7 linked regions of the Mus musculus genome follow. The main gene of each other region encodes a partner of the protein of the gene in region 3 in a complex. Links are inferred from orthologs where the notes say so. Each region holds a gene or a part of one and is shown on either strand. Other genes may lie near its edges. The genes, in order: Chaf1b, Lin52, Rbbp4, Tfdp2, Mybl1, Tfdp1 and Cdk2ap2.

Evidence for each region.
Region 1: the proteins of Rbbp4 (region 3) and Chaf1b are in contact, whole or in part, in a crystal structure (PDB 7Y5O), measured with the Homo sapiens proteins. The link is inferred for Mus musculus from reciprocal best matches to the Homo sapiens genes RBBP4 and CHAF1B. Residues at the interface, in NP_005601.1 of Homo sapiens: Gly58, Lys59, Asp60, Asn88, Asp89, Asp90, Ala91, Phe93, Glu406, Asn410; in NP_005432.1 of Homo sapiens: Arg28, Lys48, Gly49, Pro50, Asp51, Gly52, Lys53, Lys377, Lys385.
Region 2: Rbbp4 (region 3) and Lin52 share a complex: the UniProt entries of both Homo sapiens proteins name them as parts of the DREAM complex. The link is inferred for Mus musculus from reciprocal best matches to the Homo sapiens genes RBBP4 and LIN52.
Region 4: Rbbp4 (region 3) and Tfdp2 share a complex: the UniProt entries of both Homo sapiens proteins name them as parts of the DREAM complex. The link is inferred for Mus musculus from reciprocal best matches to the Homo sapiens genes RBBP4 and TFDP2.
Region 5: Rbbp4 (region 3) and Mybl1 share a complex: the UniProt entries of both Homo sapiens proteins name them as parts of the DREAM complex. The link is inferred for Mus musculus from reciprocal best matches to the Homo sapiens genes RBBP4 and MYBL1.
Region 6: Rbbp4 (region 3) and Tfdp1 share a complex: the UniProt entries of both Homo sapiens proteins name them as parts of the DREAM complex. The link is inferred for Mus musculus from reciprocal best matches to the Homo sapiens genes RBBP4 and TFDP1.
Region 7: Rbbp4 (region 3) and Cdk2ap2 share a complex: the UniProt entries of both Homo sapiens proteins name them as parts of the nucleosome remodeling and deacetylase (NuRD) repressor complex. The link is inferred for Mus musculus from reciprocal best matches to the Homo sapiens genes RBBP4 and CDK2AP2.

What each region holds. Positions count from the first base shown.
Region 1 is NC_000082.6:93,890,401-93,893,900, reverse strand, and holds part of Chaf1b (chromatin assembly factor 1 subunit B), read right to left. Parts: intron 2,402-3,500; coding exon 2,305-2,401; intron 1,788-2,304; coding exon 1,703-1,787; intron 1,170-1,702; coding exon 1,076-1,169; exon of another isoform or gene 1,002-1,075; intron 1-1,001. UniProt on the Homo sapiens protein: Acts as a component of the histone chaperone complex chromatin assembly factor 1 (CAF-1), which assembles histone octamers onto DNA during replication and repair.
Region 2 is NC_000078.6:84,450,218-84,454,307, reverse strand, and holds the start of Lin52 (protein lin-52 homolog), read right to left. Parts: upstream 2,801-4,090; 5' UTR 2,796-2,800; coding exon 2,765-2,795; intron 1-2,764. Other genes in the region: Aldh6a1 (methylmalonate-semialdehyde dehydrogenase [acylating], mitochondrial isoform 1 precursor), read left to right, coding at 3,369-3,419.
Region 3 is NC_000070.6:129,325,371-129,328,870, forward strand, and holds part of Rbbp4 (histone-binding protein RBBP4), read right to left. Parts: intron 3,364-3,500; coding exon 3,218-3,363; intron 1-3,217. UniProt on the Homo sapiens protein: Core histone-binding subunit that may target chromatin assembly factors, chromatin remodeling factors and histone deacetylases to their histone substrates in a manner that is regulated by nucleosomal DNA.
Region 4 is NC_000075.6:96,194,931-96,199,074, reverse strand, and holds the start of Tfdp2 (transcription factor Dp-2), read right to left. Parts: upstream 2,801-4,144; 5' UTR 2,515-2,800; intron 1-2,514. UniProt on the Homo sapiens protein: Can stimulate E2F-dependent transcription.
Region 5 is NC_000067.6:9,669,210-9,672,709, forward strand, and holds part of Mybl1 (myb-related protein A), read right to left. Parts: intron 3,448-3,500; coding exon 3,331-3,447; intron 3,108-3,330; coding exon 3,003-3,107; intron 2,550-3,002; coding exon of another isoform or gene 2,370-2,549; intron 804-2,369; coding exon 675-803; 3' UTR 1-674. UniProt on the Homo sapiens protein: Transcription factor that specifically recognizes the sequence 5'-YAAC[GT]G-3'.
Region 6 is NC_000074.6:13,337,358-13,341,550, reverse strand, and holds the start of Tfdp1 (transcription factor Dp-1), read right to left. Parts: upstream 2,801-4,193; 5' UTR 2,745-2,800; exon of another isoform or gene 2,631-2,744; intron 2,610-2,630; exon of another isoform or gene 2,111-2,609; intron 1,887-2,110; 5' UTR 1,824-1,886; coding exon 1,812-1,823; intron 1-1,811. UniProt on the Homo sapiens protein: Can stimulate E2F-dependent transcription.
Region 7 is NC_000085.6:4,095,895-4,099,517, reverse strand, and holds Cdk2ap2 (cyclin-dependent kinase 2-associated protein 2), read right to left. Parts: upstream 2,168-3,623; 5' UTR 2,093-2,167; coding exon 2,011-2,092; exon of another isoform or gene 1,807-2,010; coding exon of another isoform or gene 1,785-1,806; intron 1,702-1,784; coding exon 1,601-1,701; intron 1,514-1,600; coding exon 1,381-1,513; intron 1,021-1,380; coding exon 953-1,020; 3' UTR 501-952; downstream 1-500. UniProt on the Homo sapiens protein: Acts as a component of the histone deacetylase NuRD complex which participates in the remodeling of chromatin.

The sequences.
Region 1 (3,500 bases), on a different chromosome or scaffold from region 3:
AAAGTCAGTCTCTGCAGTGCTACGGCCCCCTGCTTTGGTCACTCTGTAATATTTACTAGCAGAAAACCAGTCCTCTGCCAAGAAGCTGATCTGGGAGTTTGAGGGATTTGGGTTTTGGGTGGAGAGATTGACTGATTTTATTGGTTTGGTTTTAATTTGTTTGTCTGAGCCAGGGTCTCACACATATCAGGCTGGTCTTGAACTCACTACAGAACCAAGGTTGGCCTGGGTCTTCTCCCACCTCCACCTGCCAAGTGTTGGAGTATAGCAAAATGCTACCACGTGTAGCTGACAGATTCACTGAGAAATTCCTGATTTCCTTGCTAAGGAATTGTGTCTCAGCTGTGAGGCATAGGACTGGATGGCGTTATCAGGCTGCATTCTAAACAAGCCACGTTCCCAAGCGGCAACACCCACCTTCTGCTCAGCTATAATGGGAACTGTTGCTTTTTTTTTCAACCTGAACAGAATAGCAACATCTAAGTTGCCACACAGTTCAGTTCTGCATTTGCCTGTTGGCGGGTATCAGAACCTGTCCTGGATGTAATCTATACCTTGCTTTCACTCATTGGTCTATCTGTGGTGCTAAGGGTTGACCCCAAAGCCTTACACACCTTGGACACACCTGACTAATGAGCTTCATCTAAGTCCTCAGTTTTTCTTTCAGGTTTTCATCTTTTGTGTTTTGTTTTCTTGCCAAGTGAGAGGGCCGAGGTATAGGATACATTGTATCAAAGGCACCAGGTGGCGCTTCCACCATGTGTCTACTGACTTAGTCTGCTACACCTTTACCATATGGAAGTTTTACATTCCCAGCCAGGCCTGGGCTGCACACCTGTGATCCCAGCATTCAGGAAACTGGGATAAGAGGATCACAAGTTGAGGATCACCTTCAGCTACCCGAGTTCAGCACCAGCCTGAGCTACGCGAGACCATGACTCAGAACAAATGGCATGCAGTAGTCGGTTGGTACAAGGCTTGCACCACCACTCCGCTCACACCTGCAGGAGCTGAAGTGAACAGAGCCGTCCCTGTGGTGCCATCACACCCCTATGTCACATGCCGTCAGGCACACCTGGAGTGAGGAGCAAAGATCCATCTGGAGTAAAGCTGAGTCTTCGGAAGAACGACTTCATGCTGTCGTCGTGAAACATCCGGAAACTTCTTGCCTGTGGTAACAGAGCTTGAAATCACCTGAAAGCCTCTAACCCTCCACAGAGGCTCACCACTTAGAACTGGCACGCCAACAAGGCAGTCCAAGGAGAAGCCTCATCAGTTGGCCAGCAGGTCGGGCAAGTGCCGTGATTCAGAGGCAAGGAAGGACAACCCCAAGACTCACCAGATCTCAAAGGGCGAGATATTTTATGCTGGGCTGCTGAATGGCTCGGAGGGTAAAAGGCACTTGTTACCAAGCCTGTTGATCTGAGTTCCCAGGACCCATACAGTGCACTAAGGGAACTGACTCCCGACCTTCAGAAGCACACTGTAACACGTGTGTGCATGTTCCTGTATGCGTACTTGCACTCTTAACACACACACATATTCTTGCACACACACTCACACATGTGCCCAAACGTGAATATCACACATACATATGCATGCATACACACATGCCAAAGGCATACTCGTGTGGGCACACACACACACACACACACACACACACAAAACACACACCCATGAAAAAATGATAAGTACTTCCTACCTCTCCTTCAGGCCCCTGTCCAGAGAGCATCTTTGAAATGTTGAAAGCCACACGCTTTTTCTGGGTATTATAGATCCGCAGCACCCTGAAGAAAGAGCAGTCTGAGTCCCATCCCAGCACGGGAACTGGGTCTCACACAGTAACAACCTACTGCGAGTCTGCGGCTTGTCCCCTTGAGTCAAGTGTGATTCAGTTTATTTGATGCTAAAGCTCTTCCTAACGGGGCGGACAGATGCACCAGTGGCTATGAGCATGCACTGCTCTTGTAGGGAAGCCCAGTCTGTTCCCAGCACTGACAGCTCCCAACTGTAACTCCAGCCCCAGGGAACCCAATGCCCTCTTCTGGCCTCCAAGAGCACCAGGCACACACCTGGTACAAAGACATACATGCAGGCAAACATAAGAGTTCTTTCTACATCAATTCACCCATCCGGTAAAGATTCACTGGTGCCAGGTCTGCACAGGGCACCTGGCCTAATTCGTCTCTAATTCCTGTCTTGTCAGAATAGCAGATCCAAACAAAAAAGCCAAAGCTGGACTATCGATCCCTTAGTAAGGTTGCGATAAAACATTTGCAAAACACGTTCATGTTACTTACGAACCTGTCACAGCTCAGGGTCGCAATATATTGACCCAAAGGATCCCAGGTGACTCCTTGCACATAACTTTTATGCTCGTTGAAAATGGAAATTTTCTGCCCTACAAAGAAGCACGAGAAAGTTATTATCAAGATTTCCAGGAAGCACGCTGCAGGAACCACAATGTTGGCACTGTCTCCTACGTCCTGTCTGCCACTCTGCAAGCAACCTCAGAGAAGCCGAGTCAGACTCAGGGGACCCAAAGATCACTCCACACAGCCCCACCCCCACCCCTGCAGCACTCAAGGCAGCCAGGATGTAGAGCAAGCATGAGGCTGTGTGGGTTCGAGAAATTAGGAGCAATATCAGAGCCCTCAGTTTAGTTCTCTGGGTTGGCTAGTATGGTGGTTTGAAAGAAAATGGCCCCACATGCTCCAAGGGAGTTGGTACTACCAGGAGGTGTGGCCATGTTAAAGTAGGCGTGGTCTCGTTGGAGGAAGTGTGTCTAGGTTCACTCCCTGCTGCCTGAGGATCCAGAGGTAGAACTCTCAGCTCCCTCTCCAGCACCATGTCTGCCTGTACGCTGCCAGGCTTCCCGCCATGATGATAACAGACTGAACCTCTGAACTGTAAGCCAGCCCCAATTAAATGTTGTCCATTATAAGAGGTGCCTTGGGCATGGTGTCTCCTCACAATAGCAACCCTGAGAAGGTAGGACGGGGGTGGGAGGGATGACATGCACAGGAGAATCCCTCACTCGCAGCTTAGACCCTGGATGGTGGCAGCATTGAACTGCTGAGATGAAAGGGAGGACTCAGAAACAAGATGGAAGGAAAGAGAGGTACTGCAGTCAGAGAGCTCTGTAGGCAAAGAGCAGGCCAAGACCAGCTAGCTGGGAAACGATCTGCGCTTCAAAGAGCGAGCTGAAGCCAGACCTGGTGGTGCACACCAGGTGAAGAGGAGGTAGGGGGTATCCAGGGTTCAAGGCCAGCCTTGGTTACAAAGAGCTTCAAGGCAAACAAACAAACCAGAGTTGGGAAAATATGAGAGGAGAAAGAGTGACAAGTTAGGTCACAGAAACTGAAGGATGGTTGGGCGAGGCCTGAGCTGAGCAGGCTAACAAAGGCCCTCAGCAGAGGAGACAGCAGCACAGAGCTTCCCCAGACCAAAGGGAAACACAGTTATGGAGCCTTAACTATGTATGTATGTGTGCACGTGCA
Region 2 (4,090 bases), on a different chromosome or scaffold from region 3:
CTCCATTTGCACGTAGGGAAAACCCCTTAATAGCGCTATGTTCAAAATCCACTTACCCAACCTTCTCCATCTCAAGAAACTGCAATGCCACAAACCCAAGTTCTTTGACTTATTTACTTTTCGTTAGTTTACATTTGTGTAGCATTCCATGGATTCTGGCCTTTGCACGATGGCTGCTACCATTTCTACAGGGCCGAGACTTATCTCTCCACAGAAGACTTATCTCTCAGCACAATTCTCTGCTTTTGTTTGGTCTGCTCCAGGAGTCACTGTGTTACTTTCTGATACACATAAGCACATCTCTTTGTCTTAGTAGAATTAAGTCTCCTCTCAGATACCAGCACCTTCAATTTGAAGAAGAGCTGGATGCTCTCTGCTTCTAGAACCTCACTTATCCAGCAAAAACTGGCCTTGTACCACAGTCTTCCAGATACTGGCTTTTAGAAATCCTGCTCCCAGGAGACCTCCACAGACACCAAGATGAACCCCAATTTTTTAAAAAGACAACAAAAATCTTACCAACACTTTTTTTTTTTTTTGCTAGTAAGAAAAGGATGTTTTAGCAAAAACAAAACAGAACAAAAAACAAACAAACAAACAAACAAAAAAACACCCAGGCTAGAGAATCTCTTTTGTTGTGAACACAACTTCTTTGGTAAGAGGCCAGGCATAGTGGTACAGACTTTTACTGGAGGCACAGGTAGGAAAGCAAGAGGATGGTGAGTCTGAAGCCAACCTGGGCTACACAGTGAGACCCTATCTCAAAAAAAGGAAAGAATTAGAAAGGAGGAAACTCTGGTATCCTTACTTTTGAATATAATCTAATCATCCTCTTTAGTACTAAAGACTGAACTTAGGGTCTTGGTCATGATCAACAACTCCCTAGTGCTGAACTACAGTCTCACTTCTTATTGTTCATTTTCAGATGTAGTTATGGTATGACTGTCTTGTCTTCATGGTATATATGTGGAGTACATGTGTGCTTGATGTTCATGGCGGTCAGATCCACTGGAATCGAGTCATGAGTCACCATGTAGATGCTGGGAATAGAATCCAGGTCTTTTGCAAAAGCACCAGGTGTTCCTAACTACTGAGCCATCTCACCAGCCCCCTGCATCCCCCTCACATTTTAAAAAAAGATTTATTTACTATGTACACAGTGTTCTGCCTGCATGTACACCTGCACACCAGACGGGGGCACCAGATTTCATTGTAGATGGTCAGGAGTCACTATAGGGTTGCTGGGAATTGGACTCAGGACTTCTGGAAGAGCACCAGTGCTCTTAATCTCTGAGCCATCTCTCCAGTCACTCCTCCCTTACTTTTAAAAATAAAACGTTTTATTTTAAGCTGTGTTATGGTGGTGCACGCCTCGGGAGGCAGAGGTAGGAAGAGCTCTGAGTTCAAAGCCAGCCTTGTCTATAGAGCAAGTTTCAGGACAGCCAGGACTATACAAGAAACCTTGTCTCAGGAAAAACAAAAACAAAAACAAAACAACCAACAAACTAAACCAACTTTTTATTTTAGACACGATTTGCCTACAATTCCCTCTACAGCCTAGGCAAGCCTGAAGCAACAAACCTCCTGCCTCAATCTCCCAAGCTAGAATTAGAGGTCACACACCAAGGCCAGTTTTACTTTTGGATAAACGTTAACTTAAAGCCAAATCCTTTACAGGCATTATTCTAAAACCTAGGATTAGCCGGGCAGTGGTAGTGCACGCCTTTAATCCCAGCACTCGGGAGGCAGAGGCAGGCGGATTTCTGAGTTCGAGGCCAGCCTGGTCTACAGAGTGAGTTCCAGGACAGCCAGGGCTATACAGAGAAACCCTGTCTCGAAAAACCAAAATAAATAAATAAATAGTAAAAATAAACAAACAACCCCCCCCCAAAAAAAAACCCTAGGACTAAATTAATGAAATAAGACAGAATTGGAATTTATAGTTGGGTGTGGCCCGGGCAAAGTGCAAAGTTAACAGAATAACTATATAAACTGAGATGCTGAATAATGACAGAAGAGCAATTCCAAATATTAAAGCAAAACCGCGAGCAAAAGCATACGGGTATATCAAGAACACCTATATGTCTACTGAGATGACTTGCGTCTTAGAAGACAGAATAAGCAGAATTGCTCCTGCCCTCAGCCTACGGAAACAACACATAAAGTAGAGGGGTGACGAGTTAAGGAAGAGTTGAGAAGCGTGAGAAGCGACATTAACAAGCCGAATTTTCACTCCCTCGGGACTCAGGGCAAGGAAACCAGGTCCCCGCACCTCCTGCTGCCAAGGCAACGGACCTGAACTGAGGAGACAAGCTTCTCTCTCTGCCGGCTCGGTAGAGGAATGAACCCTAGACCTCATGTCAGTCACCACTCACACTTCACAGCCATAGAGCTTGAGAGACTCATACGTACCAGCTCTACTGAGATGAGAACAGAACCAACACTCCAATGGGCCTGTTCAAAAAGAAAGTTCCCTTTCCCCTCAGCAGCTCCTTTTGAACCCTCAGCATCACCGATGGGCCGGAGCGACCTCTGTCCTTTTTCCCCCCATAGGGACTCCGGTTGATGGACTCCTTCCTAGTACACAGCAAGGAGACCTGGTACTAGGCACCTGCTAGCTGAAAAGCCGGCATACCCCAAAGGAGAAAAGTGGGAGAGAAAGGAGAGGGGCGCAAGAAAAAAAGAGTAAGGGTGAGGACAGAGGAAGTTCCCAGAGAAGCAAATAATGATACTACAGGCCAACAATCTCCAAGCCGGCTCTTACCGTCTGTGGGAGACGCCATCTTCCAGCCCATGTCACGTGACGTAACCAACCGTCGGCGGGAAAGCGAGGATCCGCAAGCCACGCCCCTAGCAGGGATAACCTATCCTTAGCTCACAGCCCGGTCTCGTTTCCCTACTTCATAGGGTAACATTTGCCTAGTCCCACCCCAGACAGCAGCCCCACCCACGGAGTGGTTAAAGTGGAACGCAGGCAAAATTCTTCAAGGACCTTATTTACTTTCCTTAGCAAGGGGGCGGGACCTTAGAGAGCCTACCTACAGCCAATCGGAGTTCCCGGTTAGGGGGCGTCTTCCCTGTGTGCTTACTATGCAGTACCAAGTCGAGGGGGCGTCTCCATATTTCCGCCAACAAAAATAGGATAAAGTGAGAGAAGCCCAGAACGCTTCCACCTTTGACCAATCACCTATTCCCAGGGGTGGGAATGATGGGTGGAGTCAAAGATTCCGACAAGTGATTGGTTATAGGAAGTGGCCCTTCCCTCCAATGGAGAGGCTCGGTCGTGTTCTGGGCGTGGCTTAACGGTGTTGCTTCAAGGGAGGCACTGGCAGCCGAGACGCAGGCGAGCTGGGCAGAGTCGGTGAGCCATGGCGGCGGCAGTGGCGGCAGCGGCAGCAATGCGGTCCCGGATCCTGCAGGCGAGTGAGGGTGGCGACGAGGGACCATGATGTTAGAAATGGGTCCTTTCCGCCCCGTCTCTAAACCATGCTTCTGCCGGACAGACTTCTTGGCCCAGCCCCTTCTTTGCAGCCCCTTGTGTTCCACCAGACCCGTGCGTCAGGGCTGTCACTCTGTACCGCCTGGCCCCGAGATTCAGCCCCGGACGGTCACGCCTGCTCCCCACTCCCCTTTACTCCTGAGCCTTTTCTTTTTTAGCTTTGACCCACCCACCTCCAGTCCAGCTCAGTCCTTGCTGTCACATGCTGGCTTGCTTTCTCTTTTTTGGTTCCTCCCACGGTCTCTCTTTCACCTCTGTACCAGCCACCTCTGTGCCCCAGAAACTCCTCCTTTTGGTCGCTGTACATAGAGTACTTTCCTTTGCCAGGAGCGTCCCTTCCCCCCATCCAGCCTCTATGTGAGGCAAGAGGGGATGGGAGCTCATTAAGGACATGGAACTAAGATCAGAGAAGGAACTTTGAATCTCCTAGACATGTACCCTAGGTTTTCATATCAAAAAGGCAGCCATTTGTTAGTTTTCACAAACATTCTGGCTTTTAGTGTTTTTCCCAAGCCCTGGGCCAAGTTAAACTTTCTCAGCGAAGTTAAACTTTTGGAGGTAAATAAGGGCATGTGGTTTTGCTAATACTGC
Region 3 (3,500 bases):
CATCTTTCTAAACTAATAGTATTCACACATAAGGTTCTGTCACTCTGATTTCTAATGAGTCACTTTTCTAGGCAATAAATTTAGTGGAATCTCAAAGAATGTGTTTTAACAGCACAAACCAAATAATCAAATCATTTTTCCCACAATCAATCAATGAATTTTTATAATGTAGTTCATCTTTTAGGTAGGAGATTACTTACCTAATAATCTCTCAAAAACACTTTTTTTGTGTGTCTGTGGTGCTAGGTATAGAGCCCAGGGTCTTACAGATCCAAGACTAGTAAATTCTACCACTGAGATACAACCCAGCACTCAAAGTCTTAAACATTAGACATAACTCTGCCCATCGCTGATGAGATCAACAAAGTCACCATCCCCCACACCTTTTAAATACCAAGCTTATTCTCTGATCTGTAAAGTATCACTTTAATGGAGAGAAAAATAATGTATGTAACACTGGGGTATTGTGATAATCAAATTAAAAAATCCACAGCTGTTATTCATATCACTGCTTCTTTTTTGGGGAGGACAGAGAAGCCCTTTTGAGAATTCACTCAGGGACTCAATATGCAGACAACTGCCTTTAATGTATGATAATCCTTCCTCATCTGGCACACACCTACACCAATACACAAAGCTGATGTCAAAGGAAGCAGCTCACGGGGTAGAGAGCATGCTGACCCCCAACTCCCCAAAGCAAGATAAACATTCAGGGAACAGGACTAAATTCTAATCATAAACAACCAGCAAAATAAACAGAAAGACCAAAGTTTTATCAGTTAAAGTATTAAAAAAAAAAGATTATTTTGAGCTCTTTGGGACAGGAAAGCATTTCAAAGAATGACAAAAAAGTTGGAGGACTTTAGAGGAAAAGTTAATAATTTATAACTGTACAGTTTTTAAACAATAATAGAAGCCAGGTTTGCTAGCCTAATCCCTCCCAGAACCTCAGAGGCAAAGCAAGGATGACGATTCCAAGTTTAAGCCAGCCTGGGTTACATGAGAGCCTATTCAAAACCAAGTAAAATACAACACACACACACACACACACACACCCCAAGTTAAATGACCTTGGAGGACAGAGAGATGGCCAGTGAGTACAAAGTTTGCTATTCAGCAAGAATGAAGACCTGAGTTTGGCACTAACATAAAAGGCCAGGTATAACTTGAGGTTTTCCTGTAACCCAGGAATAGAGTATGAAGACATACATGCAGCCTAGCTGGCAGGGCAAGCCTCCAATTCAGCAAAACCATGTCAAAGGATTAAACAAGAGAGTGACAGAGGAAGGCCCTGACTTCCAAGTGTGCTGGCATGGACATGCGCACCTTCACTCTCGTAGACCACTCATGCAAAATGAGATTACAAGTTATTGAATCCAATTACAGAAAAACAAAGAAACCCACACCACACATTCTACCTACACTACCTCTTTCTGAGGTACCAATAAAAACCCTGAGGAGAGAAGAGGTTCTGAGTTCAATTCCCAGCAACCACATGGTGGCTCTCAATCTGTAATGAGTTCTGCTGCCCTCTACTAACAGTAGGTGCACATGCAGACAGAGCACCCATATACATAAATCTTAAAAAGAAAAAGTCCTGGGGCTGGAGAGATGGCTCTGCAGTTAAGAGCACTGACTGCTCTTCCGAAAGTCCTGAGTTCAAATCCCAGCAACCACATGGTGGCTCACAACCATCGGAAATGAGATCTGACGCCCTTTTCTGGTGTGTCTGAGACAGCTACAGTGTACTTACATATAATAAATAAATCTTGAAAGAAAGAAAGAAAGAAAGAAAGAAAGAAAGAGAGAAAGAGTCCTGTATGTAGTAAGTACTCAACCCCCTTAGAATGCCCAGCCTTCTACCCCTACCTTGCAAATGCATACCATTGTATGTGGTTTAGAATCCAGTGCCTTGTGCATGTCAAACAACTTACCCACTGAGCTCCATCCTCAACTTCTCCTTTCTGGCTGGGCATGGTGGCGCACGCCTTTAACCCAAGCACTCGGGAGGCAAAGGCAGGCGGATTTCTGAGTTCGAGGCCAGCCTGGTCTATAGAGTGAGTTCCAGGACAGCCTGGTCTACACAGAGAAACCCTGTCTCGAAAAACCAAAACCAACCAACCAAACAAACAAAACCCTTCTCTTTTCTGTTTGTAGTTTACTGCACACACACATTCAGGTGGATATGTACAAGCTCCTAACATACATAGTGACAAGAACAACTTTTGGGAGTCAAGTTCTCTACAGGGACATAAGTATCAATTCCTATCTAGAAAAAGAAGTATTTGTGAGCAGTTAGGGTATTCTCCTAAAAAAACAGGTTGCTGAAACTTTTTATGCATGTAACAGGTACCACAGTCATTTCCACTGTCCTAAGTCACTGAGTGGCTGAGAGGTGGTGGCACATGCCTAAGAATCAATCCCAGCCAGCACTTGGGAGGCAGAGGCAGGCAGATCTCTGAGTTTGAGACCAGCCTGGTCTAGAGTGACAAGGACAGTCAGAGCTACATACACAGAGAAACCATGTCTCCAAAAACAAACCATAATCTCGTGTTTTTCTCCCCACCCTAATCAGTTAACCTTCTAAGATGTTTTTATTAATCTGCCCCTAGACCCCATGGAATTATAGCAACAGACACATTGTATACTTTGGGTGCTGTGTAAACATTTTCTGTTATGATGGGAATCACTAGCCCCAGGCTGGCCACAACTTGTGATCCTCCTGCCTCATGTGCCTTAGTTTAAGAGATGTCAGAAGAGCAAGAAACACACACTACACATTTAGTCTGCATCTCATGTACCTGGAAAAAACCTAGGGGAGATGAAGAGATGGCTCAATGGTTAAGAGCACTGGTTGCTCTTACAGAGGTCCTGAGTTCAATATGGTGCTAGGGGGATGGCTTAGTGATTTAGAGCACTAGCTGCTCTTCCAGAGGGCCCAGGTTCAATTCCCAACGGCTCACAAATGTCTATAACCCCACTTCCAGGGGATCTGATATCCCTCCCTTACCGGCCTTCATAGGCACCAAGCACACAAGTAGTGCAGACATATATGTAGAAAAAACATGCACACATTAAAAAAAAGGTGTAGCAACCCACATCTATGAACTAATTTCTGTCTTTGGGTCAATGTCTTCCTGGTTAACCAAATTGTATACCTCCTTAATGAAGATATAACCCATATACCATTACTTCTTCCATCCCGGAAGAGTCCTACCTCCTTTTTCACTGTCATAATGGGATGCATCAAACTGAGCATCATCATTAGGGAGCTGGACACTGGCAATCACCAGGTGGTTCTGTTCATCAGATGTGTGTGTTCCCAGGACAAGCCGATGAATGCTGAAATCTTTCCCTTCAGGCCTATAAAAACAAATCACCATTATTTAAGTTGGTAACCCAGGATATCAGTCAGCAATGTACATGTATAACAAAACAACAAAACAAAAATCCAAACAATTCCATCTTGAGATAGTAAGAACTACTTAAAACAAACACAA
Region 4 (4,144 bases), on a different chromosome or scaffold from region 3:
CAAATCCTAGCATTACATGGTGGCTCAAAACCACTCATAATGAGATCTGCCACCCTCTCTAGTGTATCTGAAGACAGCTACAGTGTACTTATCTATAGTAATAAATAAATCTTTGGGCCAGAGTGAGCAAGGACTGAACAAGTGGGGCCGACCAGAGTGAGCAGGGTTGACCAGAGTGAGCAGAGGTCCAAAAATTCAATTCCCAACAACTACATGAAGGCTCACAACCATCTGTACAGCTATAGTGTTCTAATATACATAAAAATAAATAAATAAATAAATAAACAAACAAACAAATCTTTTAAAAGTATAAAAATAAAAGTTATCTTGCAAACCATTTCTAAGGGTTCATTAGCCTTCAGAAATCCTTAAAGTCCTGTTATCACAGGTTAAGATAGAAAGGTATTAAAAAGCAAGTACATTTAGTTTTGGGGGGAGGTGTAGGGGGTTGTTTGTTTGGAGGAGGGCACAGGTGTGGAACAGTCAGAGGATAACGTTCAGGATGAGCTCTGTCCATCCACACTGTGGATCCCTGAGACAGACAGAGATAAGGTCAGCAGACTTGGAGACAAGCACCTTTACCCACCGAACCATCTCGCCAGCCCCAATTTATAGTTAATCATCTTTAAAACCCTTACAACCCCCAATCTAGTTTCTTCTGAGGGCCATCATGACACATACCAAAGTAAACCTAAAAGATGAAGAAAGGAGTGCACAGCCTATTTCAAAGTGAGGTCTTGTTACTGCTGTTTTATATTTCCGGGGCTGGGCGTCAATCTAGGTTTAGGTAATTACCCTACCACTGCGCTATTGATGCCCCAGCCCTCAAACCGTACTGGAGGTCAGTTAAGAATTTTGGCTGCAAGGGTAAAACCTGCACACGGCAAGGACTACATATTCGCAAGGGGCGAGGGAAGGGAATTACGGCCACAAAATAGTAATATGAATAACTAAAACTACTTTACTATGCCTGGAATTAAGGCAACAGAAGGGTTTACTAAGTCTCGGGACTTTCTTAACAAATGTTAAGTGCTGCATTCCTGACTCTGCAACCACATGCCAGCACTGGCTACTGACACCATATCTGCCATAACACTAAACTAGTTCCAAGGCACAAGATGTTCTAAAACTAACTCTGCCCAGAGCCAGTACACAAGCGTGACAGAACCTGGGGTCTGGCCGGCGCCTTTATCTCCTGATGCAATTTGAGAATGGACACTTACATGAATTCCAGCAATGGGATAGTGGTAAAGCCTTAGTAAATCGTAAGATAATCAGTGACTGGAAGAGGCAAGATGCAAAACAAACATTTTATACTCAACTTTGAATTCTGCCACAGTGGAAAAGAGGCTAATGACTTAAACCATACTGCCTAGTTACGATGACTTCAAACCATTAGGAGAACAGAAAACAAATGACCCAGAAAAATTCTAAGTCAAATGAAACACAGCAGCTGGCTCTGTAGAGGGGTGTTTTCTAACCTGTGGGTCATGACCCCTTTCTAAAGGGAGTCGTTCTTGCCTAAGACCATCGGAAAACCTAAATATTTACATTGCAATTCATAACAGTAGCAAAATTACAGTTATGAAGTAGCAACAAAATGCTTTTATGGTTGGGGTCAGGTCACAGCATTAGGAAGGTTGAGAACTGCTGGCCTAGAGGAGGCAGGATAAGGGGTTGGAGCCCCTTGAGATGAAAGGAGGAAAGACAGAAGTCGCCAAAGGCTCAAAGGTACTTTCAACGAATGCTATGGAAAAAGAATGCAAAGTAAACATTTTGCTAGGCCAGGCTACAAGCCTGGTAACGATTTCAGCCGAAAAGGTGAAACAACATGGGGTCCAGAGTCTCCTCCAGCATCCAGGGTTACGTTATGCATTTAGTAGAAGTGAGCTTTGTTTCAAGTGCATTCCGGAGATTAGCCCTTTTCTCTCTCCCAACACCCTCCCCGTCCTCGCATAGGCAGATGTGGCTCACAGATGAACAAACTGAGCCCACACAAAGCACCGGAACACGGGCGAGTGAGTGTCCACGCACTTCACTGTGCCACCTCTCGGCGGAGCCCACAGTCACTTTCCCGCTGCTCTGTGCACAGCAACCAGGGCCTTGTGCAGAATTCCTCCCAGAACTTGGGCCGAGAAAGTAACCTCTACTTGAAAGGAAAAGTTCTCTTGGGGGAACCTGGGGGTCTTCCAGGTAGGGAGAGCTTTGGAACTCTGCAAAAGCACCCCGCAGAAACAGACTGGAGGATGGTGGATCACGAAGGGAGGAGGGAAAGTCAGAAGATCTGAGTGAGAAGCCCAAGTCAGCCCTTGCCCTTCCTGATCCCGGGTGATGGCGAGCCCGCGGGCTCCGGAGCCTCATCAGGTATTCCAGGGTTGCTTGGCCCCGCTGCAGAGAAATCCTGAGGACAAGCTGAGACTCCCGGGACAGGGCAGGGGAGAGCCGGCCGGCGGGGGGCCACGCCCGGTCCAAAGGCCCCTGGCGCGCAGGCCCGCGCCCTTTCCGGGACCTTACCGCAGCTTGGTGCAGAGGGGCCGCCGCCGGTCCACACAGCCCTCGGCCCACTCCCGGGGAGACGCTTCTTCGCGAGCCGCCGCTCCTCAGGCAGAGCCAGGTCCGCTCGGAGCAAGCTCCCGGCCGCGCAGCCGCGGTCTTCGCGCGCGTCGGAAGCCTGCAGTGCAGGAAGGGTCAAGGCGCGCCCCGCGTGCCAGGCAGCGACGGCCGCACAGCCCAGCGCGCCCGACGCCGTCCGCCCTCAGCGACACGGCCGCGGCGGCGCCGCTTCCCCCGCGCTCGCTTTGGCGGCGGAGCAGCACGGTGAGCGCCGATTGGCCCTCGGCTGGCATGACGCGCGCCGACGCTCTCCACGGATTGGCCGGGCCGCAGTGCGTGTAGGGAGTAAACAAAACCCGCCCCCAGGCTCGCCCCCAGGGCCAGAGGCGGAGGTGGGCGGCGGGCTTGCGGGAGCCTGCCCTGGTCTTTTGACCTCCAAAGCCACTCTCCGCTAGGGGCCGCCCTGAGGCTCTGCCTGCCGCTGGACCCCTGCCACCTAGAGGGCAGCCAGGCTCGCCCTTCCCCCTCCACCACATCAGCCCCTCTCCTCACCTCCACCCACCACCTCGCTTCTCTCAGCTCTAAAGTATGGTTCTCTTTTCCATCCCATCTCTCGGAAAGAAACCGGAACTAGGTCCTTACATCTGGACCATAGACCTCTGATGGGCCACTGCTCCAGGAACACTCGGAAGGCAGAGGGATAAGTGACCCTGAGGCCACACGTGGACCACTGTGGAGGTTGGTCATGCTTCAATTCCTGGGAAAGTGTAGCAATAAATTAAGGCCAGATGCCTTAATTTCGAAGTTGAACCGAAAAAGTTGGAGGCACACACTCTCAAATACCCAGTCATTTATTAAGAAATTCAGGTTGGCTTAGTGGCTCATGTCTTTAACCCCAGCACTCCTGAGGCAGACACTAGCATATCTCTTTAAGTCTAAGGCCAGCCTAGTCAACACAGTGAGTTCTGAGCCAGCCAGGGCTAGACACTTTGACCCTGCCCCCACCCCTCCAAAAAAAGGTGTTTCCCCCTTTCAAGTGCATGGATCCTGTATGAACTGTAGCTAATGTGGACGTTTGGAAGTAAGATAAGAAAATCCGACTTTAAAATACTTTGATCTTTTTCATTTTAATTTCCTCATAGCTCTATGAGCCAAATACTATTTATGATGCTAGGGCTGTGTGTACAAAAGAGACAAAAATTCTTGGCATAATTGAGCTTATGTTCCAGTGAGGTAGGAAAGATGCTTCTTAAAGTTCTTTAAAAAAAAATTCAGTGGTGTGATAAGGGAAACAACTCTGAGAGGGGGCTATTGATGTAAATACCAGCCCCAGAGTGTCAGCTCATGGTCTGGGTGGCAGAGTCGGGAGTTTAGACCAACTGAGTCTACATGAGATCCTTTCTCAAAAACATTAGATAGATAGATAGATAGATAGATAGATAGATAGATAGATAACAGTGAGATCCTTTCTCAAAAAATGATGATGTACATAGGTAGAAACTAAGGCAAGCAGACAGAAAAAATGCATAATGAGGTGAGGAAGCCAAGAGCAAACACCCTTGGCTTTCTCTTTGGAAGATTTGGAGACTAT
Region 5 (3,500 bases), on a different chromosome or scaffold from region 3:
GCTCCTATATACTGTACAATACATTCAACAAAATTCTCAGCTCTTCTGAGACTTATGAAGAAATACTGACTCTTTACTAGTAAGAAAAAGCCCATTTTCAATGCATTTTTAGTACTATGCACAAATAAATATCCTTAACACTGTAGTTAATTTCATTGTTTCTGAAAAATACCAAAATTAGTAGTGCAACTTCTAGCTTCCTTGAGACTCCTTCCCACTGTGTTTCTTTATGAATGGTAGTCTTAGTAAATCAGCACACATGCAAAAGTACTTCATAAAGCCTCTGTGCTTCCTAAATGTAGACTTTCAGAGGTCACACATACTTAACTTGTTTATAACAGACTACAGCCTTGAGACAGTAGCAACATATATCCTGTAAAGAAATTATGTGAGAATTTACTATGGAATATCCAGAAACATGCTTATTTTCCCATTTTGTTCTTTAAAACAAATTTTAAAACTCTCATTTCTTAAACATATAAATAATAAATTTGCCTACCCCTTACTTTAAGTAGCTTATTAGTTTTTTGCCTGTTCAATATAGAAAAAAACGTGAACCATTTTAGGGATGTATTAAAACCTTTAAAAGAATTAATTGAGACAAATTTCATTGCAACCTAATTTAGCATAAAATACAGTAAAGGGGTAGGGCATTTTATCAGCTTTAGTAACAGTTAGAGTATTAGAGCTCTTGATGTGCTGCTGGTAGCTGTGTAAGTACTCAGATATCTTCTCGCTTGTTCAGTCATGATAAGTTGGTCTTCTGTCTTCCCATATACCACTGTTTCCCATTCACAATTTGACTATGAAGGAAAGGTGAATAGAGATATGAAGATTAGTAAAATTAAATACCAAAGGGGGGGCACATAACATACGCGGAAATCAAGACAACTTTCAAAAGTTAGTCCTCTCATTCTGCCATGTGGGCTGCAGAACTGAACCCAGGCCATCAGGTTTGGCAGCTCTACCCACTAAGCCACATTGCCAATCCATACAACTAGACTTCCAAAAATCAATTGTTTTGTCTAGGAATTTTGTAAGTAATTGCATTAAAAATGTTTTGATAACATTGAATCTTTTTAAATGAGATGCTTTATTTTAAATACATACTAAAATATTTATGATAATTTTGTGTAATTATTACAATTATGTACACTGTTCACTGGCCTATAATGACAGTATAATAGTTTTGTTCCCAACAACTCCCCACAAAGCAAATGGATAATAGGGAAAAAAATAATCCCTTTTTGCCCTCTAGTTTTGTAAACAAAAAAAGGAGTTGGAGATGTAGCTCATTGGTAGAGTATTTGTCTAGCATGTGCGAGCCCAGGTTTGGACTCCAGTGCCAGAAAAAAAGAGACAGAGACAGAGACAGAGACAGAGACAGAGACAGAGACAGAGACAGACAGAGACAGACTAACTTAAAGGGAAGATCTAATGTTAAATGTGAACAAGGAGTGCACCTTCTTTGTTTTCTTCCTTATTAAAGAATAAAAGTTCCTATATTAATATATAAGAGCTACTATATAGTGAACTTTTCCAAGGAGCTCTAAGTTAACTAAACACCGGGAATTAAAAACATTTTAAACAACTAAGGGCATGTATTATGTCACTCTCTGAAAGCCATAGCTTAAGACAGACAAGTAGCTACTATATCTGATTGCCAAAGATGTTTTCAAGAAATGCTTAAATGTCAGAATTTACTCTGCATATAGTGTGGCATAAAGAAGAAATCTTCTTCTCTAATTTTCCTCTCTGGGAAAACTCCTAAAATAACAGGATAAGAATTTCTCTAGCCTTCATTTTCATCTATTTACTGAACACACAGGAATAGGGGGATTTTGTTTTGTTTTGTTTTGTTTTATAGTTTTAATCCACGAAGTTTATTGGGAGCCATTATACAAACAAAATCATGCTGAAATGTTTCCAATTACTTATCAGAAGTGGATTTAAATATCTACACACACAAAATAAATTAGGGAATCACCGAAGGGCCAGGCATGGTGTCAAAAGTCTGTGCCCCAGGATTTAGGAAGCTGAAGCTGCATATATGAGTTCAAGCTCAGCTACATAATGAGGTGAGATCCTGTCTCAAAACAACAACAAAAATGAGCAAAAAAAAAAAAAACCCAAAACAAACAAAATAGCCAAAAAATCTCCGACTACAGTTCCAGTTGTATAGACGACATGTGCACTGATGAATGAGTCTCTCTCAAACCCAAGCCTGCTTTCAGTGACAAAATAGTCATTCTTTGTTGTACTTGTCAATTTCAACTTTAAAAGAAAAAGGATAACTTGTGATCAGTAAGTTTAAGTGATCATTGACTAAACAATAACAAAAATCACTCAAGAAATTTATGAATCCATACCTGAAGACTCTTTTCCAATTTGACAGCTTTACAAGGGTTAGGGTTTGGTCTCTTTTTATTAAGTGTATATGTTTTGTTGGCTGAATTTATATCTTGTTTTTCAGGAGTCAAGTTGCACCTATTGTCATGTATTTCCAATAATGGTATCATTAATAAAGATGTTGTAAGAATATTTTCTGACTAAGAGAAAAAAGAAAGAGGAAAATAACTAATTCAAAAACAGAGACAAGAAACTACTGAGTGAATGGTAATAGAAGCCCTGCTCACTGCCCTACTAGGAAGCATCTGGCTCTATAATAACATCTCACTAAGTTCTATAGTAATAGCTTGGTAATTACATAAATACATTTCTAGTGCTATAGTAATATTTGGTAATTTCATAAAATACTAAAACTTAAAGCTTTATGAACCTCCACTTTTTGATATCATACAAAAATCTAACTTCTCAAAATAAAACAAGTTTAAAAAAATCATATATTCTTCACAGATAATAGATTCTCTCTGAACTAGGCAAAATAACCCTAAATTTTCTGTAACTCTCTTTTAAATTATCTGGCCAAGCAATCCATATGAAATGAGAACAATTATGACTTAAGACAGCCATTTAAAAACATATATGAATTCTTTACAAACCTGCATGTCTGAAATGTCTTCAGTTAGCAGTTGAGTCCCTGGTTCTTCTTTGTCCCAGCTCTCTAAGGCAAGGGATTTTCTGACCTTCTTCACAGATGCAGAGTGCTAAGAAAAGTAATTTACAGGGTCACATTATAGCCAAGTCTCTCCAACATGGTAAACACTGACTACAACAATACTGGAAGAGCTGGGATGGGAAGCACATCTGCAATCACCGTTCTCAGAAAGTGATGGCGGGCGTTTGGAAGTTTGAGGGCAGCCAAAATTACATAAAGACCCGCCTCTAACTAACTCTGAAAAGAAATGCATACACAATACTCAAGGTTACCTCCTGTTTGCAGCTTTTATAAGCAGGTTCATCTTCCTCTTTGAGGAATATATCTGTTCCAGTTTCTTCTTTTAAAACTTCTCGAATGTCTTCTTCCAAAAAGGCAAGTGGCTGGGACTAAATTATTTTTAAAGATTTTAAAAGGCAACGGCCAGAAATTCCTTCCCCAC
Region 6 (4,193 bases), on a different chromosome or scaffold from region 3:
ACTCCACTGCTCCGTGCCAGCTCCTGCCATCCCCATCCTGTCCACTGACAACTGCCTGCCCGGCTTCACAGCCCCGGTTCACAGTGAGCCCAACTTACCTGCTGGTCTGCCTGGGCACCAGCAGGGGCAGAAAAACCCTAAGTTATTTGTCTTCTGTCTGCCCTTCCTGCCCCTCTTCTGTGACCTCAAGCGTGACTTTTGTCTGTTCTCACCAGTGTCATGGCCTTCAGAGCCACATGTCTACAGGACCCTTTACAACCAGATTTCACTTAAGCATCAAGTGCTTAGAACACTTCAATGGTGCCTCTTTCTTTCCCTTCAGCATAAGTTACAAAGTCCCTTTCCGAACCCAAACATCACATCCTACTTAAAAACACAGTTGGCTACAGAGAAGACCCAACCCTTGACTGTCTGCAAGAAAACAGGGAGCGCCACTTCACCTCTGCCTATGTCTGTGCGCACTTGTTGGGGGACTAAGCTGCAGCATTCTGATACCCAGTCACAGCACTGGCCTAGCCACACCACAATGGCTAACCCCAAACCGGCAGCCGGACAGGAGCTCCTGACCACTTGCCTCCCCAGGGGACACTGCACACAGGAGTGTATAATGACAAACTAAGATGACTGGGCTTGAGTATGCTGACTCAGTGAAACTACACCATGCCATGTGGCCTCACAAAGGCACGGGAGCCAGCACCCCGTTTACACCCATTCACCAAATCTAGCTACTTTGTAGGCATGCGCTGGGTGGCATGTCTCTCATTAGGGCACTCGTGGGGACGGAGTCAGGACATGGATGTACATAGACAACAGATATAACGAGATCAAGCCAGTGCCATATGTAGTTGTGACTTCAGGTGACCTACACAAGGTCTCTCAGGGTGAGACATGACCCCCCCCCCCCCCCGGCCCCCAGGAGCAGGTCCGGTGCTCGATGACCAGAAGAGGGTCTGTTCCATGCGGGCCAGTCAGGACAGGACTCCGCACCTGCACCACGGTTCCGCTACACCTGGGCACAACTCTAGCTGATGCGGCATGTCTGCCTGCATTTCCAGGGCTGCACAGAAAAGGCATGAATCTAACAGTCACAGAACAGTGGACACTGAGGAACACTGGAACGGACACGATCAGTGTTGGAGGGAGTTAAAGCAATACTGCAAAAATGTATGTATGTGACCAACAATACAGACTGTATTTACAGCCTTAAAACCTAATTGTCCATACCTGTTTCCCAAAAAAACTTCAAAACGCTCGGTAGCTTCGTGATAAATATGAAGCTAAACCAACCAGCATTTCCACGGTGTTTCATTAATCACCAAATGTCATCTTTCTGAGAAAAATGTGCCCAAACAAGTAGTTGGGATTCAATCCATCAAAGCTGGATTACGGTCTTACGTACTACATAAAACTAGTACAGTGTAAGTTCCATGTTGACAGCTCTCCTGTGTGGAAACCCACTAACAAACAACACCCTCTCACACACTCATAACTGAGAGATGTATTAATTTTTTTATTTTATTTAAGCAGTTTAGATAAAGAAAAAAAAATCAAGACATCATCATCAAACCACGAAAAAAAAAACAAAAAAGAAAAAAAAAACGTGTCACGCTTCGGATGACAAAGACCATTTGTGCAGAGGGGAGACACCCACCTAACGACTCTCGCCATCATCCCTCATCTCCATCCCAGCTCCTGCCTGTAAAATGTCTTGGCCAACCCACTGCCACACACGTATGGCCACTCTCAAATAAAGGGAGAAAACTGCAACGAGCTGTGCCAACATGTCTGCAGCATGCAGCGACCATACTTACATCTTTTGCCATGTTACCAGATCCAGGAAATCAAGGCTTTAACTGCGTACCCTCCACAGAAGAAACCGTACTTATCTGGTTAAAAAAAAAAAAAAAAGAAAGAAAGAAAGAAAAGAAAAAAAGGGAGGGGATGAATAATGAATGAGAATGAGAAGAAATTTAACGCACATCGCATTTCAAAGGAAACATCTCCCCACCAGCACGAGGCAGAGGCAGGCCTCCAGGCAGCAGGGGCCTTTCTTGCACAATCCCGACAGGAGAGCTAGCCAAGCAGGTCCCACACGGGGATTTTAAGTCACCTCTCTAAATGGAAATGCTCCCTGCGGGCACCAGCAGCTCCCACCGGCAGCGGGGCCAGACCCCGGACCCTTGGCTGAGCGACGCGCAGCCGTCAGGCTCACCCCACCTGGGCACGCGGGCCCCGCCTGACCACAGGCCCCGCCGAGGCACAAGGCCCCCCACTTGGGCACACGACACTGCGTGGCTCCGCCCGGGCCGCGGCGGGCACCCCCCACCCCGGGCTGCCCAAGACCCCGAGGGGCCGCCGACCACTCTGACAGGTGGGCTCCCGGCCGCCCGCCCGCTCGCCCCACCTGTCACTAGGCCCAGCCACCAGCCCCGCGCCCTGGCGCGGACAGAGCCGGAGGGTGGCCAGGACCCCTGCCCGCCGCCCACGCCACGCCGCGTCGAGGCCGACTCCAGCTGAGGCTGGGCGGCGGGCGGGATGCGACCGGACGCGGGAACCGGGCTGGGGCGGGAACGGGGCCGCGCGCCCAGCCTGCGCCCTCCCGCCGCGACCGGCCGGTGCCCCCGCCACACCTGGCTGGCCGGCGGGGCGCGCGGGGCGGACGACGGGGGCGCGGAGGCGCCGGCCCGGAGGTCCGGCCCTGGCGGTCCCTGCCCTGAGCCAGCGGCGCCGGGACGCGGGCTCACCCTGGGCCGAGCGTCGGGCCGGCGTGACGTGCGCGCGGCGCGGTGACGTGGGCGGCGGCGGGCCCGCTGCGCGCAGCGCGCCTGCGCGCCTTTTCGCGCCTTCGGCGCCCTCCTCCTCCTCCTCCTCCTCCCGCCGCTCATCTCCCGCGCCTCTCGCCGGTGCTACCCGCCCTGGGAGAGGGGCGGGGCCTGCGCGCGCGTGCGCGTGCGGCGGGACCCGGCTGGAGACCGCCGACGCCGAACAGCGCTGCGCGCGTCTCCATGTGCGCTCGGAGAGAGGCCACGTGTGTGCGCGCCTCTGTGTGTGTGTGTGTGTGTGTGTGTGTGTGTGTGTGTGTGTGTGTGTATGTGTGTGTGTGTGTACACCAAGGGCCAACTGTATGCATATCTGTGTGCATGCGCAGGGAGTAGAGGGCCACGTGTTTGGCTCTGTGTGTGCGCGTGTACCACGCGCGCCAACGGTGAAAAGAATGTGGTGTGTGCCATACCTGCATGCACACGTAGGGAAAGGATCATGTGTGTGCACACCTGTGGATATGCAGAGTCTGACTGTATACACGTGTGTGTACATGGAGTATCAGTCGTGTGTGCACGCCTGAACATATATACAGAAGAGAACCCTCTGTGCAAACATATGGAAACCTATGTTAATGTCTGCGCACTGAAAAAAAGCAGGCGTGTGTGTACACATGAGAAAAAAGAGGTCAGTTCTGAGAGTGCTTTAAAGTACCTGCATGTGCACACAGGGAGAAGAATCTTGTTCATTTACACAGAACAAAGTAAAGACTGTTCGGATGCATACTGAACAATACAGAGACAAGATCCCCCACCTCTGCTCAACTACTGACCTCCACAGCCACATGCCCTGAGCCTGGGCTGTCAGTGATTCAGGGCAGGAAACAGCCTGTTAATCAGGTGTGTATGCATTTGCGCCTTTCACTTCAGAAACCTTCTGCTTCATCCCAAGAGGGGTCTGGTAGACCCTGAGCCTTGAAGACTCAGTCCATCTTAGAGGCCACTTCTTTAAGACTAAAGCTGGAGAGCCTGGGAGGAGAATAGGCTGGGGCTCACAAATCAGTCCAAATGGTTCAGATAAAATGACACAACGTTTCCCAAGAATATGGGACTGAAGAGCAGGGCAAAGTTAAGTACTATCAGAAAACTGTTAATGTGAGTGACCGGATTTTATTCTGGAGGAAAGGTCAATTTGACTCCCAAACTGACAGATCTTTCTCCGTTACCTGGCTGCCTCAGTCCCATGACTCAGCCCAACAGCCCTTCTTTAGCATCTGGCCGAACTGTCCGCCAGCAGCTGTCCTGTTTGAACACTGCTCAGCGGCTTTGAGGAAGCAGCCCTGCAACCACAGCTGCTTATTGCTGAAGCAGAAGAGGCGATACCCAGGCATGAGTGTGTCAATAGCTTGCACCAGAAATACCCAAGGCATGAGT
Region 7 (3,623 bases), on a different chromosome or scaffold from region 3:
CCACACCCAGCCTTGTGGAAGTTGTCAGGACAGTGGATAGCAGCATCAAGCCAAGGTGCTGGGGGTGGGGGGGAAGGAGCCTCTAACTGCCTCCCTTAGGAGTCAGGGACCCGGTGTATTTAGAGCCTTCCAAGGATGGTTTTAAAGCGGAGCTGGTGTAGGGGCATTAGGACGTTCACGGGAGAGGCTTAAGTGAACTGGTATTTCCACCCTGCCAGGCATGCCTGCCAATCTACAGGAAGGGCCCTTTAGGCTCCGGCTGTCCAATAGTGCCTCCAGCTGTGAAGGCAGCCAAGCCCTACGCTGCCCCCTGGTGGCACCTCCTTATGCAGACATCATTGGTGTTCTGTCTGGCCTTCAGCTGCAAGGCGCAGAGCTGGAGGTAGCAATGGACAAGATGGGAAGGCAAAGCTCGGTTCAAGCGCCCTTCCCAGTTCCTGCTCTGCCCTTCCCCTCTGCCCACTCAGGCTTCCCCAGAGGAACCACACACAGAAAGGCTGAGAGAATGACTCCAAAGCATCTTTTATTTATACAAAAAGGACATATTTAGTAAAAGACACACCAAAAAAAGAGTCGGCTGTGGCCCCAGAGATGAGGCAGGAAGGTCTTCTGCACTCCTGTTGAAGAGGCAGGAGGTGGCCTGGGCTAAGAGTTAAGGAGTAAGTGCTGTGTGGTGGGGCCACAGAGAGGAGCAAGCTCCCGTCAGATCAGCACTGTGAGCAGGTCATGGAAGGGACTCCCAGTGGCCTCCCAGCACTCCCACAGAGGGAGGAGACCAGTTTGTACAGCCAACTGGACGAAGATCTGCTACCTGGTTCCTGGAGGGTGCCCACTAAGGGACACAGGACAGGAAGCCCAGGATAGGAAGCAACTTGGGGCGCGAAGGCCAGGGAGAAGCAGGCGCTCTGCAGTGGCCAGAAAGGTCCCGGCGAGGAGGTCAAGGTGCTTCCTGTTACGTGCGGGCATTGCGTTCTGTCTCTGCCAAGCACTCTCTGACTAGTGCCCGAGCGTGGATGATGCCTGGGGTGCGGTGAGGATGGGGAAGTAATAAACAGGGCCCCAGAAACAGTCCACAGCCACCCTTCAGAGCAGACACTCCCCCACCGCTCCATGGTTCAGCAAGAGCACCTCTAATCTAATGAGGATGGATGGGATTAAGGGTTGGCTAATCCGAGTTCCCAGGCACCTTCTTGGAAACAGACTCATTTGAAAATGGAAAAGTTCATTTAAAACCCCTCCTTAGGTACACGTTCTGTTCCAATCGAGGCTGGCCCAAATGTCCTGTCCTGACTCTAGATATCCTCCATCCTTACTGAACTGTCTTAAAGTTCAGTGTCTGTGTCCTGGGCAGAGCAAGGGCAGGCCTGTGGCTTCACTTACCTCTCTTCAGGCGCTCCATGGCACTCTTGCTACCAGCATAGGTGGGCCGGATCTCTTTGCCCATCTCCTCTATGACAGACAGCAGGTCCGTGTAGGTGCTCTGAGAGCCCTGGGAACCAGGTGGCTTCATCGCCTGTGTCAAAAGAAAATACAGACGTGATCTCAGACCCCGAGGGGATCTCCTGTCCTCAGCCATAAGCAAGCTCTTGGCCACACTCACCTGTACATACCCCATGGAGGGCGGACCAAAGTCGTTAAACAGCGGTCTGAAAGGTGCGGCAGCTCCTGGCACTGAGCCCGATGGCGATGGGACACTCCCGGCTGCAACGACACCAGCAAGAGGTCAGAGTGTGACAAGGGCCTCGTCACAGATTTCCAAGCCCAGGACTGTTCCCTTGACTAACCTCCAACGGCATGCTTCTTCATTCCACTCTGAACAACTTCGGAGACACACTCCTCCCCCCTGCGCTCCACCTACAAGCTCTACGTGACCACGCCCACTTCTCAGGCCAGCAAACTGAGGCTGAGCCAGGCTCGTCTAGCAGGCCCCGGATTGCAAAACTCGAGCGGTTTCTCTCCAAGACCTCGACTGCCCGGACAAGGCGAACAAGGATGGAGTTGGAGCCTCACCTGTAGGGACCGGGGTGCCTGGCCCGGGGGTGCTGGAGCCCGGGGTACTGCTGGGGGCGGGCGCGATAGGTTTGTAGGACATCCCAACTCCTCAGTGCGGCGGCCGCCAGCCGGCCGCTCCTCTGGGGTTGGCTGTCCGGCAGCTCAGCCGCACTCTGATTGGCAAGCGAGCTGCACGCCCCTGGTAAATAGAGCTCCGGCCGGAAGGGTGGGCGGGCACGATCGGTCCTCACTCTCGATTGGCGCGCTCAGCTGTCACTCGAGCCTCCTCATTGGCTGAATCTTGCCCCCGCAGGGCGCAACCGCTGCCGATTGGCCTCCACCTTCCGGACCTCGCACCTGTCTGCCCCGGATTGGGCGGTGACAGTCGTCCTCCTCAATTGGCGAGTTCGGGGCCCGGGGCCGGCGCGCTTTCAATCCGATTAGTCCCGAGGTCCAAGAGGCGGGGCCTCGGCAGCGGGCCAGTCTGGTCCCCGCGGTTTGCTCCGGTGGTGTGTGGCGGGCCGCCGAACACACTTCGTCCTCACCGCTTCGCGACTTCCCTCCGCTCAGAACTCCCAAGGCCACGGCTCCCACAGTGTGAGCACTCCGCCCTACCCCGAGCGTTTTACGTCACCTTTCACTGGTTCCGTGTCCCCCCCCCTTCGGCTGTGCGCATGTGCGCGCCTCAGGCCTGTATTTGTTCCCATGGCAACGGTTCCCTCACCAAAGTCATTACCAAGCTCCTTCTCTGGATTGGTTTGAATCTTCGGTCTAGGCAGGTGGGTCCAAGGCAGCCAACGACGCTGCTCGACACTGAACCCTAAGTCCCCTACTCTCTCCACAGACAATGATAGAGCATCATAGATCAAGAATTGCGTTAGGTCAAGTCAGGACCCTGGTCAAGACCCTTGGCTGGAATCTCAACACCTCATTAATGGTTTCCTCCTGGACTCTTTTTGGCGGGTGGGATGAGATTGAGACAAGGTCTCAAGTAGCCCAGTCAGAACTCGAACTCTCCGGGTAGGGGAGGGTGACCTTGAATTCCTGATGCTCTTGTCTCGGAAATGCTAAAGGATTACAGTCACACGCCAGTTTCTTGCCCTAATAGGTTTCCGTTTTCTCATGAAACATGAAGACAGTAATACCTGGAAAGTAAACTTGGAAGTGGGTAGAGAAATAGAGATGAGAGCCAGCCCCATATGGGTTGAAGCATGGTTGATTATTGTTCTGACGTCATTAATGAAACTCCCACCTGGGTCTGGCCATCTAGTTCCTATTTCCTTGAAATCAATTCACTTTAAAATTAAAATAAAACTATTTTATGTATACGAGTGTTTTGTCTGCATATATGTCTGCAGAACTGCTGCTTTAGCCCTCAACTCACTTTTTAAAAAAGCGACTGCAGAGATGGCTTAGCAGGTAAGAGGACAGGCTGCTCCTCCAGAGGACCCAGGTTAGAATTCTAAGCATTTACATAAAGTGCCTCAGAACCATCTGTAACTGCATTTCCAGGGGGCCCAATATCTCTTTCTGTTCTCAGTGGGCACCTAGCAAGCAGGTAGTACACAAACGTACAGTCAGAGAAAACACCCTAGACTTTTTTTTTTTTTTTTTTTCTGAGAAAGGGTCTC